2 linked regions of the Oreochromis niloticus genome follow. The protein of the gene in region 1 purifies or fractionates together with the protein of each later gene. This does not show direct contact. Links are inferred from orthologs where the notes say so. Each region holds a gene or a part of one and is shown in the gene's direction. Other genes may lie near its edges.

Region 1 (8,302 bases):
CACTGACTGCCGCTGACGTTTAAAAAACGGAGCAGCCTGCATGTTTTGTTAGCATGAGAGCTAATAAGTTAGCTTCTTGAAAATGACAACACAGCAGTGACAGACTGAGTGACAGGATTACAGCTGTGCAGGAATACAGTATACCGGGCACTTTATTTCAGGTTTACAGTAGTTCGGCTGCCATGATGGCAGCTCACAGTAGACTGCAGCTGATCAGCAGTTGGTTCTGTGCTGGCAATGAAGAAGATGTGTAGAAGATATAGCAGAGCCTGAGCTCTGTACTGCTATATATTAGATTTAACCAAGTCAAACCCTTTACCCCGTCTGTGCAGCTCCTCTGCATACAGCCTGTGGTTGCTCTTCATTAAGCACAACTGTAAGCTGTGTAGGGTTGTAGTCCTAGCTACAAAAAGTTAAAATCAACTGAGATAAAATGATGCAAATCAGTACATCCAGCAGCTCATCTTTGATTTAAATATTAACGTCGACTACAAAATGGAAATGTCTAAAAAGCAGAGCAGTTCTCAGTGCACTTAGATGTCTCCAAGCAATTTAGTAACTTAGCTGACAGAAAATTGTTAATATTTCTGAAAGAATCATCTAGTAATTTCTAAATGAAAGCCCACCTGTGTTTCAAAGTATGTCAAAGAAGTATTTAAAGTATGCGATACCTCGCAATGAGTCACTATGAAGATTACCAATGGACTGAAATAAATTCTTTAAAACTAATAATTGTTATTAAACTCAGTTCATGACTGTTGTAGAATTTAGGTGTTTATTATAGTTTTACATTTTGTAGGCTACAGACAGATAATCTGTTATGTAAATATTCAGCAGGATATTGAAGCTGTTGTAATTACTTGTTTTGTTATATGACTGTATTTCCAATGTGTTTCTATTGTTTGTAAGTAAAGTATCCATTACTGCTAAATGTGTTCAGTGTTACCGTATAACGTGACCTCAGAGCGTCTCTCAGCACGATGCTGGTACCAATACTGTGATGCTTTAATTACAAAGATACAATCAGTAACACTCTCTGAGTCAGTACACGTAGATAAATTCTGACCTCTTGCTCTTCAGACATCGGGGTGAATCTGACAGATCCCATGTTCAGAGGACTCTACAGAGGGAAGCAGAAACATGACGGTGAGCTACTGCTTCACTCTTATTTTCACTGTGGGGCTGTTCACATTATGTTTTTCTGAGTCTCACGTTTTCCTGACAGATGACTTCAATGAGATCATTGCCCGAGCTCTCAAAGTAGGAGTTGAAAAGGTATGCTGTGTCCATCACTTTGATGAAGCCTCATGTATTTTAATCATAGCCATGAATTCAGGGATCGCTGCGGTGTTGATTTGTTTTAAAAAAGGTAATCGTGAAATTGTGGGATGATAGAGATTTTTACAGCAACAGTTTGGCTAATAGCTGTTGGAGATGTTTATGAGGTTTAATATCCCGGACAAAACCCTCATTTATTTCATTCCCTGAAATGGGCTAGGCGATGAGGGAAAGAAGAGAAGAACAAGAACAAAAAGCCTCACCTTTATTTTAAGTACACTCAACATATAAGTCGGTATACTCTATCATGCTGAGCCTCATTATATATGCTAAAGAATTGTGGTGCAAGTAGTCAGGATGCTGATGCAGATATAAAACAATATAATATCATAGTTACTCTTTTTTGTGTATGTTGGAAATCTGTAATTTGAAAGTTATTTGTTCTCAGTTGTAATGATTGCGTGTTTTATCTGTTGCAGTTTATGATCACAGGGGGGAGCCTTGAAGACAGCAGGGAAGCTCTTAAACTAGCTGAGACCAGAGGTAATAATGACAACACGTTTTGTGCAACCAAATGATTCGTGGTCTTAAAGAATCAGCCAAACCTACCTAATGTTTTCCTCCGTGCTGGAGCGTCTCACCTTTAACAAGCTCCCTCCTTTATCACAGATGAGTTCTACTGCACGGTCGGCTGCCATCCCACCCGCTGCGGCGAGTTTGAGCAGAATGGAGAATCCCAGTATTTAACTGGGCTGAGGGAGCTGGCAGCAGCACACAGAGGAAAGGTGGTGGCCATCGGAGAGTGTGGACTGGGTGTGTGTACATGAGCACGTGTATGAATGTACATGACAGAAAGAAGTCTTCATTTACACCTTATTTATTTTTCACTCTGTGGGTTTGTGTTGTTTCTTTTCTCCTCATTTCAGATTTTGACAGGCTGGAATTTTGCCCAAAAGAAACTCAGCTCAAGTAAGTTTGTGTGATTTTCACGAGTTTTGAAAAAAGGCCTTCTAGAAGCAAATCTTGCCACTCGGCGGCCATTTTTTAAGGCCACATTTGGAATTTTAATAGTGACTGCTTAAGTTACCAGTGAAACCTGATAGATGTGCCAAAAAGTCTAAAAGCTTTTTTTCCCCTGAAGATTTCCTTCTAATAAACATGATGGTTCATTTATGACTCCACAGACTTGCGGATTGTTTCCCAGTCTGAAAAGTGAAAGTACCTTTAACCTGCTTTCTTTAGAAGTCTATACGAAAATGGCCTTTAGCTTAAATGGCCCTCATGGACTTTTGTTTCCTGTGCCTCAATTTGCTCCTTCTGGTGTGTTGCAGATACTTTGAGAAGCAGTTTGACCTGGCGGAGGAGACCAAGCTGCCCATGTTCCTCCACTGCAGGAACTCCCATCAGGAGTTCATCGGTAGGTTTGTGAAGCAGACACCTGATCTGGTTCAGGAATTTGATTTTTATGCAAAACATTTGACTGTTTTTGTTTCCACAGACATCATGAAGAGAAATCGAGACCGATGTGTTGGAGGAGTGGTAAGGATGATATGATGTCTAATATCATAGTACTTACAGAGAAGGATATGCTTTCCACATCCTGGATCCTGGAGATGCGAAAACAACCTCCGTAAAAGTGAATTATTTTGTGACAGGTTACAATACTCAATGTAAACTGAACAGAATAAAGACCTAAAATGTAAAATTCTGTGAAGTTAATACTTTTGTTGGGATAAATTCACAAACAAACCTGATTTCATCCATTAAAACTAATTTGCAAAACATTGTTTACATATTTAAAAAGCCACTGAGTCACTTTATGAATGAATCAGATCAAAATTCTTCTGCGTTATTGCTATTTTGAATTTCAGGTCCACTCGTTTGATGGAACTGCAGAAGACGCTGCTGCTCTCATAGACCTCGACCTCTATATTGGAATAAATGGATGGTGGGATAATCTGAGAAATGTTGTTCGGTTTCCTTGAACTTGACCAGAGTCACACTGAGTCTCACTTCCATATCTTTCAGTTCCTTGAAAACAGAGGCCAATATTGAAGCTATGAAGTCGATCCCCACAGAGAGGCTCATGATAGAAACAGGTGAGTCACAGTCTGTTTATTTTAAAGCTTTTGGCAGAATGTGGCCTGAGTTTGATCACACAGTGAACCTTTATATTAAAGTTCTCTTAAAGCTCTGGAGTCATTTGTTTTATATTCTTGTTGAAGCTGTATCACCAATAAGTGGGAATATATTAGATTAAAATAGGTTTATGCTCACTTTATAGAAATATTTAACTGATATTACAGTTCTTTAAATGCTACATTTATGTTATTTATGGATTTCCACCTTCCTGCTCATTTCCAGATGCCCCGTGGTGTGGTGTGAAGAACACTCATGCCGGGTCCAAATATGTTAAAACTACATTTCCCACAAAGAAGAAGTGGGAGGCAGGACACTGCCTGAAGGACCGGAATGAGCCCTGTCATATCATGTAAGTCACTAAAGGGAAAAGCTTAATAAATCCAATGGATACAATCAGACGTCGCACTGAAGCATGAATATTGTTAAACACAATAAACCTTTAATTTTAAGATTTCACTGTTTGTCTCTTGCAGACAAGTCCTGGAGGTGATGGCAGCGGCGAGGGAGGAGGATCCACTGGAGCTGGGCAACACAATCTACAACAACACTGTCAAAGTCTTCTTCCGCTCAAGCTGATAATAAGTGACATCATCAGACTCACCGATGTGTCATTAATATTCTTTTATGAATCGGTTTGTGCGCCTCAGGACAAACCACTTATACTGTTATATTATTTGTGTTTACAGTCCTCTGTTAATGCAAAATAAACATAATTTTTTTTCATAAGGAACATATCAGTTATTGTGTTTAGAAAAACATAAATGTTAATGAGTTTATTCAAACCACACAAAAAGCTTTGATGTTTGTGATTGTTTAAGTACCCCTACAGTGCTTTTGCTTCAGATCATCAAACAAGTTTTAATATTATACTAAAGTAACCCAAGCAAATGCAGACTTTTCAAATCTTAATTTATTAATAGAAAAAGTTATACAAAACCTAATAAACTGGCTGTGCCAACATTTGCAGCAAGAGCTAAAATCAGCCGTTTTCGGTACCTGGCGATGAGTCTTTGGTTAAATGTTCTTTGCAAAGTTATTTTAATTCAGTCGGCTTGTTTTTGAGTCATGCTGAAGTCCATCAAAAGCATGCTCAGAGGTTTGTTTTTTTTAGTCATGCAGAGGTGGACTTGCTGGTGTGTCACTATCATTGTGCTGCTGCATAACTTGAGCGCTCTTGAACTTGAAAGAAATTCTGATAGACAACAGAATTTATGATTCTACCAGTTACGGCAAGTCATCCAGGTCCAGAAGCAGCAAAGCAGCCCCAGACCATCACACTACCGCCACCACGTTTGACTGTTGGTATGACCTTTTTATGAAAAGCTGTCTTAGTTTTATGCCAGATGTAACAGCATTTGTACCTTTCAAAAAGTTCAACTTTTCTCCGTCCATAGAATATTTTCCACAACTTTTGGGGATCCTCAAGATGTTTTGAAATCCCAAAGTCTGTGAAATGTTTGTTTAAATCAAATACGATAAGACACAAATAATTTAATAAGGTATAAAACTAACCTGAAATCTAAATGCAGTAAACTGAAATATATTTAATATACTTTTATAATGGTATTATTATTATATTAAATGTTATATTTTATTTATGGGTGTCTATACCAGCATACCATCATCTGAAAGCAAAATAACGTCTACATTAAAACGTGTAACAAAGAGTACACAGTAAAAATGACGTGTAATTTTATAGTTTGTAGAAATGTTACGTCAGCTGCCACGCCCACCGACGCCACGACGCGATACGTCGTACCATCCTGGCAACTTCTTTGGTTATTAAAAAAAAGAAGTCCAGTGGCGCTTTCACAGCACTGACAAACGGACATTTAGAGATGCCTTCATAGGTTTTGTGACAGCGGACAGCTCCGGGTCTGATGGGGGTCGTGAAGTTTAACGGCTGCCGGCTGTCGGCTGTAACACGGAGGGTGGGAGCGTTTTAACCCGGAGAAGCAACAGGAGGTTGAGGTGGACGAACATGGCGGACAGATGCAGGCTTGCAGCTGCCGAATAAGCGTTGGGCAAAGCGAAACTGAAGACGAAGGACGGCTGCCGGGTGACTCGTCACGTATCTCACCGTTACATGGATAGCCGGGTCTCTTCAGGACTATAAAAGCCCTCCACCAAAGCCGTATGGCGTCTACTCAAGCCCGGATAGGCCAGCAGGCCTTGGTGGTGCTGGATGTGGCTCTGCGAGTTCCATGTATTTTTATTATCGACGCCATTTTTAACTCTTACTACGACCCTGGCTCGGGAATGGCCGGGGCGATGGGGAAGGTGTTGGTCAGAGTCATGGGTAAGTATTTTTAACATGAAGGAGCCCATAAGTTTCCCTCAGCAACAACGAGCTAGCCGCGTTAGCCTTGACATTAGTCCGCTGTGTGGAGCTGTGTCACCTGTCAGACCGGCTAAAGCCGATTAAGCGACCAGCAATAACATTTACACAGGACAGATCCGTCTGACACGCTGCTTAACTGCTTCACCTCGACCCTAATTTACTCTCCTCTGGCGCCAGCAGCTCGCAAGCTAACTAGCTAGCTAACGTCAAGGTGTGTTGTCACAAGTGTGATTTGTGGTGTCGCGGATGGCCTCAGAGGCACCTTGAACACAGATGAATCATATTCAGGTCCTTCTTCCTGACAAAGCTCGCTACTTCTCCTCCTCTAACTGTACTCAGAGAGCTGCTCTCTGGTCTGAACTCTGCAGGAGTTTCAGAGTACCTGTGACGTTATATCAGCGTGTGTTGACCTGGTGTCCCACTTTATGCACATCATTTGTATGCCTTGGCACTTGTCATATTTTCGGACAGGGGAATTACATTCTGGACTAGTGTTGTGTAATTACCAGAGCTGCTACTAACAAAAATCTGTTTCACTTTTTATTTATTGATTGAATAAGTCTGTAGCCTGACTAACTTTGAGTTTCCTCTACACACCGTAATTCATAAAAGCTCATCGTTTTCATCACTCTGACAGAGTAAAGCTTCTCTGTGTTGAGTCAACAAACAAGTTATGTAACTCAGTTTTCCAGTTTGCAGACCTTTGAGCAGCTCGGGCCGTCTGAAAGTGTTAGCCAAGAGCTCTGGGTTTGGATGGACAGGAAGTGAGATTAGCTGTTGGGTTTGCTTCTGTACCCGTCTTTCTTTATGTTTAGTACAGGAACAGAGACTCCATAGTGCCAGATGTTTGAACTAACATTATATTAAAGCAGTAAGGCTCACGTTGGTTGAGGTCCTCTACAGTATGTACAATCAGTTTATCATAGTGTTATCAAATGCACACGTAGCATTACATGGACTGTGAAAGGCATTTCTTTGTTTGTTTGTTTTTGTTATGCGTGGTATTTGTCTGGCCTAATTGTTATGAAAAATCAAGGAGTGTAACAGTTTGTCTAGCTGCTTGTTCAGCCTTTTACTTATCAGGATTACTCAACTCTATGCTGATTATTTTTGCTCCAAAATTCATTAATGTGCAGCATCTGGTGTTTTCTCACAAAGACTGATCTAACTACTCACTATAATCAAACAAACTTGGAAGCTACAGTTAGCTGACATTTGACATTTGTTCAGTTTGCAGTGAGAAATATTTACCTTTCCTGTCTTTCTGACTGCTTCTCCGGTGTGTTCCAGGTGTCCTCATCTCCACTGTGGTGCTGCTGCTTTCTCAGAAAGCCTTGTTTAAGTTCTACACTCTATTCTTTGCTGTCCTCCTTGGCATGGCAGCAGTCCTCATAAACTACTACGCCACCTCCCACATGGACTTCTACAATGCCTACTACAAAGCAGCCTTGGGCTTCAGGTTGCTGCCTAGAAACGGGCCGACGCTGTGGCTGGGCATGGCCGCCGTCCAGCTCGTCTTTGGGATTGGCTATGTGTTTTTGCTTAACCTCCAGTCGGTGTTTGCTGCGCTGGTGGTCCTGGACATCATGATTCCTCTGTGGGGGCTGATGATTGAACTTCCTGCAGATGTCAGGCATCTGGTGGCAATGTTCTCGGGCCTGGTGCTGGCTCTCAGTACGGCCGTTTGCCTCGCCACAAGGCTCAAATGGTTCTACTATTCATGCCGGTACGTCTACCTGCTCGTACGGCACATGTACAGGATCTATGGACTCCAGCTGCTGCTGGAAGACACGTGGAAGAGGATCAGGTTCCCTGATGTGCTTCGAGTGTTCTGGCTGACCCGGGTAACAGCCCAGGCACTGATACTGGTTTACGTGGTGCAGGCGGTGGGGAGAGAGAGCGGAGATGCCACAGGTGGAGCTGCAGATGGGAGCTCTGATGCACAGGTAAATGCTTTTACATAAAAAAAACTTCACTTCTAGGACATGTTTGCTATATGATGGTCACTTTAGTGTCCAGTAGGACTGTAAAGCAAGGTAAGCTAACAAGTTGTTAGCCACAGTGAATTGATATTTGGTTAATGACATTATTAAGTCTTTGACATATCATGTTTACAAAAGTCATATATTTGTTTGGGGAAAGAAGTTTTCCTTTTGCAGCCCCAGGCGCCCCTGTTGGATTTCCGTAATTATATCTAAATATTAACTCCTGTGTGTTTAAAAATATCTCCGAAAGCCTAAAATGTATGTAGGTGACCTCTACAGGTTTCCTGTGTACTGTAGCCAAGTAAAGTCCAGCTGGCACATTAGCTCTTTGCAGTGTTTTACAGGTATATTATGCTGGTATTTGTGTGTGTATACACAGAAATTTCAATGTGAAATATGCTTTTAATAATTTATAAACAGTGTCTGATGTCTGAAGAGCAGTTAAAAATTATGCACACTACATAACAAGGTCATAATTCTTTAACAACCTCATTTCTACTGAAGATGCTTCTTCATGTTCTGTGCTGCTGTTAATAATAAAGTCTCACCTAAAAAG
Region 2 (7,581 bases), on another chromosome or scaffold:
TTCAGTCTCAGCTGACTGCAGGTTTCCCTAAACCTTATAAACAGTACATTTGCATAATGACTGAAACCAGCCCACTGAAGGAACAATGGGCTGTGAGGTCAGTTCCTTAATCATAATTATGCAAATTCCCATGACCATTGATCAACAATCACTGACCAAAACCCACTGATCAAAGAACACTGATCAATGGCCATGAGTACCATTCACAGAGAGTTGGGGAATGGCTGCAATCACAGCATTGTAAGATGGCGAAAGATGTACCCTTAGGCCCCCTCCTCGATTCAGAGATGGTCTTTCCCTTTTCACGTAAATGGCCTCCTTGACTCCGCGCTCAAACCAGCGTTCTTCCCTGTCCAGGATGTGTACATCCTCATCGTTGAAAGAGTGTCCACTGGCCTGTAGGTGTAAATAAACTGCAGAGTCCTGGCCTGACGAGGTAGCTCTTCTGTGTTGTGCCATCCGCTTCGCTAGAGGTTGTTTGGTTTCCCCGATGTATAAATCCTGGCAATCCTCCTGGCACTTAACAGCGTACACTATGTTACTCTGTTTGTGTCGGGGGACCCGATCCTTGGGGTGGACCAGTTTTTGGCGCAGCGTATTTTGGGGTTTAAAAGCCACAGAGACCCGGTGTTTAGAAAAAATGCGTCTCAACTGTTCCGATACTCCTGACACATACGGGATCACTACAGGTTTTCACCTGGGCAGCGGTTGTCCTTCTCTCCTGGATCGGCTGGAGCTTTCTTTAGGTGCCTTCCCAGCTTTGACAAAAGTCCAGCTAGGATATCCACATTTACTCAGGGCCTTCTTGATGTGCTGTTCTTCTGCCTCCCTGGCTGCTGTGTCAGTGGGGATGGTGTTCGCTCTGTGTTGTAGCGTCCTGATGACACCCAGTTTGTGCTCCAGTGGATGATAAGAGTCAAACCTTAGATACTGATCCGTATGCGTAGGTTTACGGTACACGTCAGCTTTTAGATGTCCCCCATTACTGATGGAAATCTCACAGTCTAAGAAGGCTAACCTGCCACTTTTCATATCCTCCCTGGTGAATTTGATGTGTCGGTCCACCGAGTTAATGTGATCCGTGAAATGTAGTACGTCCTGAGATTTGATTTTCACCCAGGTGTCATCCACATATCTGAACCAATGGCTTGGTGGTGTTCCAGGGTAGGATAGCAACGCCCTCTTTTCCACTTCTTCCATGTACAAATTGGCCACGATGGGTGAAACTGGGGAGCCCATGGCACACCCATGTTTCTGCCTGTAGAACTGACCCTTGTATGTGAAGTAGGTGGAATGAAGACACAGTTCCAAAAGCAAACACACTTGGTCGATGCTGAGAGTGGTCCTGTTGCTGAGGTTGGTGTCATCCTGTAATCTCTTACGGACTACCTCCAACGCTTCCGTGACTGGGATGCAAGTGAAGAGAGATGTAACGTCGTACGAGACCATGGTTTCATCTGCCTCCATAATGACATCTCTCACCTTCTCAACAAAATCCAGGGTCATGGGAATTTGCATTATTATGATTAAGGAACTGACCTCACAGCCCATTGTTCCTTCAGTGGGCTGGTTTCAGTCATTATGCAAATGTACTGTTTATAAGGTTTGGGGAAACCTGCAGTCAGCTGAGACTGAAGAAGTCACTTGGATGAGTGACGAAACGTTTCTCCCACAAAACGCTACGTCCAGATGAACAGATTCAACTTTTGGAGAACAATTAATATCAATAGAGAACCATGCTAAAATAGAATAAAAAGGTAAGCAAAATGTATTTATATAGAGCTTTTTATCTGTGCAAAGCAATAAATATCTAGCAGAAATCGATAAAAATATAAATACCAAAAGAATCTCAACAAAAGGCGTGATAAAGCGGAAAGGTTTTCAACTGTTTTCTTTAAAAGGATTCTACCGAATCTGCTAACAAGGGGTGAAGTATTAAATTGTTTCATTGCCTTGATGCACAGACTAAGAGGATCTGTTCTCCTATGGTCTTCGGTCTTGTATAACGGAAAACTGATAGATTTTGAGCTTGTGAGAGAAGATAGCGAACAGCTGTGCATTTAACAAGAAGTTGAGATATAATATAGTCTGGAACATGTCTGTTTAGTGCTTCAAGTGTGAGAATTTTAAAAACGTGATTCAAAATCAACCGGGAACCAATGTAAAGAGAATAAAATTGGAGTAGTGTGAGCTTGCTTGCTAGAGCATTTTGTATTGCTTGGAGGTGTAAAAGAGAAGAGATGAGCCAGTAAATAGGGTATTACAAAAATCTCGGTGCAATGACACAAATACATGACTGTAGATCACAATTTCAAAACGTTCCTTAAATGAAAAAAATGAAGGTGAAAAAGATTTTATATGTTCTTTTTTCTCAGACCGTGCAGGAGTCAACAGGATTCCTCTGGTTAAAAGAGTTTCCAACTGCTTGCTCAAAGTGAATCACTGAGGTTTTCCATCCACGATGTTCTAAAGTATACTGCTTAGACAACAAAAAGTCAGGCACTCTATAATTTCGTTGGACTACCTTTAGCTTATAATGAAGGCATGTATTCGACCTGGCGTTATTTTGATAAGCAGAATCAGACTGCTGGGTAAAGTCTTTTCCAGCACATCCCAAAGATTCTCAGTGGTAAAGGTCTGGACTCTGTGGTGGCCAATCCATGCATAAGGCTGCACAGCTGTACAGCTACACACCCCAATTCCTTCAGTTCTTTTCATTGTGTGTGTGTGTGTGTGTGTGTGTGTGTGTGTGTGTGTGTGTGTGTGTGTGAAAATGCTTTTACTATCCCTTTTAACATGGCCATGAGGTTTATTGTTGCTGTTTTTATTTAATTTCACCAGATGTTTAAGTGAAATCCAATCACGATCACTCAGGATTTTTATCCAATACCATTTCTTCCTCAAAGGTGCCGGTTCATCAATAACCTTCCAGGTTTTAACAATACAGTTAAAACCTGGACAGTTCTTAACGAGAAGCTTCTCGCTGCTTCAGTTAGGGTTAAAAAGCCAGCTGAATCATATTGATCCCTGCATAAATTCTGGTTAGTTAAATACAAGCGGTGCCTTTTGTTTTTTTTCACTGGGCGGTGTATTTAACTGAGTAATAATACTCAGATTCTGTGGGACCAATAACATAACTATGAAAAACAGTGTGAATCCAACAAGTAGATGTTGATACATATAACAGGATAACTGCTGCCTTTAATCTGTTTGTGGTGCTAGAACAAAAGTCAGAGAATCAACAGACTCATTATGATTTGACCCCTGAAGACTCTGATTTTCTTCACCAAATTTCATGGCCATGCAGCCGAAGTGGTGAGGCAACCAAACCCTAGAGCCAAAAACCACTAGCAAAACTAAAAAGTCCTTGGTGTGCCCACAGTGTTACCATGTCCATTATTATTATTATTAGTAGTAGTATTATTATAAATACAGTTATTTCCATAAATACTCCTGATAAATCGTACATTGTTTTTCTCCACACTGCACATCAAATCAGCCATAACTAAGAAGAGATAAATTCGGCAGCTGGTTGGAAGCTTTGAAGCTGAACATTGGGTGAAAACCAACATTGCACCCTGATTTAGTGCCGAACTCTCTACATTTGAACACCACAAATGTGCCAAAAACACACACACACGATTAATATAATACCCCCAAAATACCAAGAGCACTGTTAATTACACCCCCCAAAAAAGACATTTAATTAAACCTAATTGAAATGAAATGCTGTCACACTGATACGGTCTCTGTTTTTGTTTACCACATTTGCTCCAGGTCATGAGGCATCAACTCACTTTTTCCAAGTCTTATTTGCATAAAGAAATGATTCATCCATGGTATTGCTTTCTAAGTGCCAGAAGCTGATATTATTAAGTAAATGTGACTCAGGTTTTTTTTTTGGGGGGGGGTTACAAAGTGAAAAGAACGGAAAACGTTTGATTAATCTTTTTTGGAAACACAACAAGTGAGAAAGCTTGCACGGGAGTAGATTTTCATCCACGTGCGAGGTGAGGTTTTCCTCGGGCTCAGAAGCAAAATGTGCTCCGGTAGTCGCATGTGCCCTGCTGCACGTATCCAGCAGGAGGGTGTTTGTTATTGTACTGACCTACTCACGACCGACTGGATAACGCAGATTCTTGCAAAACACGTTTTCGCGTTGTTGTCGAACGAGCCCCAAAAGTCTACATGTGATCGGGGTATTGAACCTTTCAGAATACACGTTATCTCTAACAGACGTGCGCTGGCACTACACGCCCTCCCGAGCCTCCTTCCAAGCCACACCTCCTCTAAAGTGACCCAAAGTTTACCGGTTTGTTTGTTTTTTTTAAACAAACGAACTGTGCCACTGACCCCATTTCCCAAAGGCTTGATATATAAGGGTGCAGAGGACTGCTGTGAGTTTAGTTACAGACGAAGAAAAGCAGCGTTTGTTTAGAGAATATCAGTGAATAATTCAACACCTAAAAGGGGTGGAGCGTGAGATCTGCCTGGTAAACGCACATTTACCTTTAAAAAAATGAGTAATATTCTAGTTGAATATAAAGCTAAAATACAGCTGTGGTACTGTGGTAGTTAAGTCATAGTTACTACTTTTATTCCGTATGTTTTTAACCGGCTCCTCTGTCTCTTAGACTTCTTTTTTACTTTCTTGTAAACTATCATAGAGAGAATACGGGCTTTTTTTTAAAGAGCCGCTGTTTGGCGTTTCCACTTTCACTTCTGCTCTCCAGCCTCCCTGTTTGTGCGTCTGTCCCGGACGAAGTGGGCGGTGGGGTGGCGTCACGTCATATCAGCCGCCTAGCTCTGATTGGCTGCCGATTCTCACCCGACACAGCTGTGATTGTTTTCTGCAGAGGAAGCTCTCGTCGGTGGTATGAGGTCTGTGCGGTGGAATGGAGGAGCACTGTGTGTTTTTTCTCTCTCGCTCTGCGTGTGTTTGCTGACGATGATGTGAACAAACAACGTGACTGCAGTTCTCTTGTTGTAAAAGAGCAGGAAAACGAGGAGGGGGGATCCTGGCTTAAATCTGCTTGCCGAGGCGCGAATGAACAGGAGAAGAGGATTCTGCTTGGAGCTGACTCTGAAGACGTCTGGAGATCAAGGTAAGCAGCCGGAACAATTTTTTAACAATTTCTTCGATTTTTTTCTTTCAACGTGAAAACAGTGGAACTCGTGTGTTGACTGTCGCGTTTCCTTTTCTAGCTTTAAAGTGCCAAATGCCTAGGCTGGAGGAGCATTGTTGGAGCTGCTCCACTTCATCAAAGACCGAAACTAAGCACCCATCATCTGGCGCAAACTGGTTGGCATCCAGAGCTGAAGAGATGATGTCGATCATCACATCGGTGCTCAGCAGTGCCTACATCTCCCTGCACGACGTCCGAACGGCCAACCTGATCCGCCGGGGTGTCGTCCTCTTCACGGTCGGAGTGTTCCTGGCCCTGGTGCTCAACTTGCTCCAGATACAAAGAAATGTTACCCTCTTCCCCGAGGAGGTGATGACAACTTTGTTTTCGTCCGCATGGTGGATCCCACCTTGCTGCGGTACAGGAGCCGGTGAGTGAATAAAAGGCTGATTTTATAAAGCTTAGTTGGTGCTTTATAAACGACCCTGCAAGGGTAGTTTTACCCGGGTGATCAGTAGTTTGCGGCTAATTTGGGGACAAAGGAATGCAGAGAGGGGAGGAGTTAGAGCGCAACAGCCTTCCCTTATAAAGAGAAAATGACACTTTAAATAATATGTGGTGTGTTTTACCGCTTGTGTATATAAAATGGGCTCTTATGGTCAGGAAATCCCCCTTTGTGAGCTGGATTTTGCCATAAGCAGCAGAAATTTAAACCGCATACAGCAGAAGCACATCCCTTTTCTCATCACCACTGTCAGCAGCATTTGTATGATCAGATGACAATGAATCACCATTCAGTTTTGTTTTTGTTTCATATTAATTATGACTCAGTTTTGAAGGCATCATTAAGTCTGGCTGTTATCAAAAAGTAAAAAAAAAAATGGCTTGGAACGGATGTTGTTTTTTATTGCGCTCTGATTGGTCGCAGCAGCCGGACACGAGGCGAGCTGCGAGCTCATTGGATGGTGTCATAACGGGTGAGCTGAGAGGGGAGGTACTTTTAAGGCCAGAAACAGGGAAGTGAGGGAAAGAAAGAAGCGCGTAAATGCTTGGCTCCTCCCCCTCCTCTCGTCATTGCATGCTGCAGGACAGAAACAAACCAAGAAATAAGAGATGTAGGCTTATGGCTTTGCACCAGGCTTCCCGTTTTAAAGCCCCAGTGTCATGCAACAGATGAAGAAAACTGTTCTTTACTTTCCCACACCTGAAGGTGATGTCATTAAATGTCTTCTTGTGCTTTATAAATAGCCCAAGAAACAGATAATATTTCAGTTTCCACAACAAGCAACTGCCACAGATCCAGTTTCTGTCAACTATCAGTTCACCAGGACAATTGATTCAGACTCATCTGAGCATGCTATTCCTAGTAGGATTGCAGCTAAAGATTGTCAATGAGGAGTCAAATGAGGTATTTTCTCAGATAAAAGCTTCTTGGAGCCCGAATAAGGTGAAAAATATACTAACAAAAGCTAGAGGGATGAAGTAAATCCTCTGACTTAAGAGCCTGGTATTAAAAAGCATCTGGTGCTTTCTGTGAACAGTTTTGTTTTTTTAAGTGACGAATCGAATGTCAAAATGGTTTCGTATTCATTGTCCCGTGATCCAGGTAATAATTCCTGTAACTCCACTTCTTGTAAGATATCCACTGTGTATTTCCTTTTTACATTATAATAGTGTGGTTACATAGTTTCCTTCACGAATTCTTGGACTTTTAATGACAGTATGTAGAAGAAAATGATTGGTACACACAAAGCAGGGAGTTGCATTAAAAAGTCACACTTAAAAAGTAAAAGACAACTTTAAAATTAAAGCTAATGTTTATGCATATTCCTCATGTGGGGGTTTTGAAGTGCATGTACAGCAGGTGTGTCGCTAACTGTGGAAATGCACCTTCAGCAGTTTGTCTCTATGACACAGTTTGCCCTATTTTTATTTCACAGAAGTTCTGCTTATCTGGCACAATTCAAGACTGTTTGTTCCCTTTTTTGATTTTTTTTTTTGCAGCTGTTATCGGCCTGCTGTATCCCTGTCTCGACAGCCACTTGGGAGAGCCGCACAAGTTCAAGAGGGAATGGGCGAGCGTCATGAGGTGTATCGCTGTGTTCGTCGGTATCAACCACGCCAGTGTTGTATCCTTTCGCCATGTCCCGTGCAGCACTCAAATGCACTTTTGCTACTTTTGTGATACTTTGTTTGTTACAGTAGAGTGGAAAAGTACACCAGTAATTAACTGAAGTTTGGCTGCTGTCTGCATCAGCTCACTAATCTGCTTTATCCTTTTGCAAAAAGAGGTGGTGCAACTTGATGGTGGCCAAATATTTGCGTAAGAAATAATCATATGTTATCCTCGTGCTGTTTGATTTTTGTCCTTAACTTCCCGGAACACAGAAACTAGACTTCGACAACAACGTGCAGCTCTCCTTAACGCTAGCAGCCTTGTCCCTGGGTCTGTGGT

Evidence for each region. Proteins that work in one complex are often made in the same cells at the same time.
Region 2: the proteins of rnf139 (region 1) and insig1 purify together in Homo sapiens (affinity purification with western blotting, with the first as the bait; 3 studies listed by BioGRID). This does not show direct contact. The link is inferred for Oreochromis niloticus from reciprocal best matches to the Homo sapiens genes RNF139 and INSIG1.

What each region holds. Positions count from the first base shown.
Region 1 is NC_031985.2:2,280,127-2,288,428, forward strand, and holds the start of rnf139 (E3 ubiquitin-protein ligase RNF139), read left to right. Parts: upstream 1-5,193; 5' UTR 5,194-5,556; coding exon 5,557-5,719; intron 5,720-7,051; coding exon 7,052-7,707; intron 7,708-8,302. Other genes in the region: deoxyribonuclease TATDN1, read left to right, coding at 1,081-1,146, 1,226-1,275, 1,758-1,821, 1,948-2,091, 2,205-2,247, 2,610-2,695, 2,777-2,817, 3,150-3,253 and 3 more. UniProt on the Homo sapiens protein: E3-ubiquitin ligase; acts as a negative regulator of cell proliferation through mechanisms involving G2/M arrest and cell death.
Region 2 is NC_031974.2:16,865,319-16,872,899, reverse strand, and holds the start of insig1 (insulin-induced gene 1 protein), read left to right. Parts: upstream 1-4,370; 5' UTR 4,371-4,493; intron 4,494-4,733; 5' UTR 4,734-4,876; coding exon 4,877-4,881; exon of another isoform or gene 4,882-4,908; intron 4,909-4,993; exon of another isoform or gene 4,994-4,998; coding exon 4,999-5,105; intron 5,106-5,205; coding exon 5,206-5,556; intron 5,557-7,130; coding exon 7,131-7,255; intron 7,256-7,514; coding exon 7,515-7,581. UniProt on the Homo sapiens protein: Oxysterol-binding protein that mediates feedback control of cholesterol synthesis by controlling both endoplasmic reticulum to Golgi transport of SCAP and degradation of HMGCR.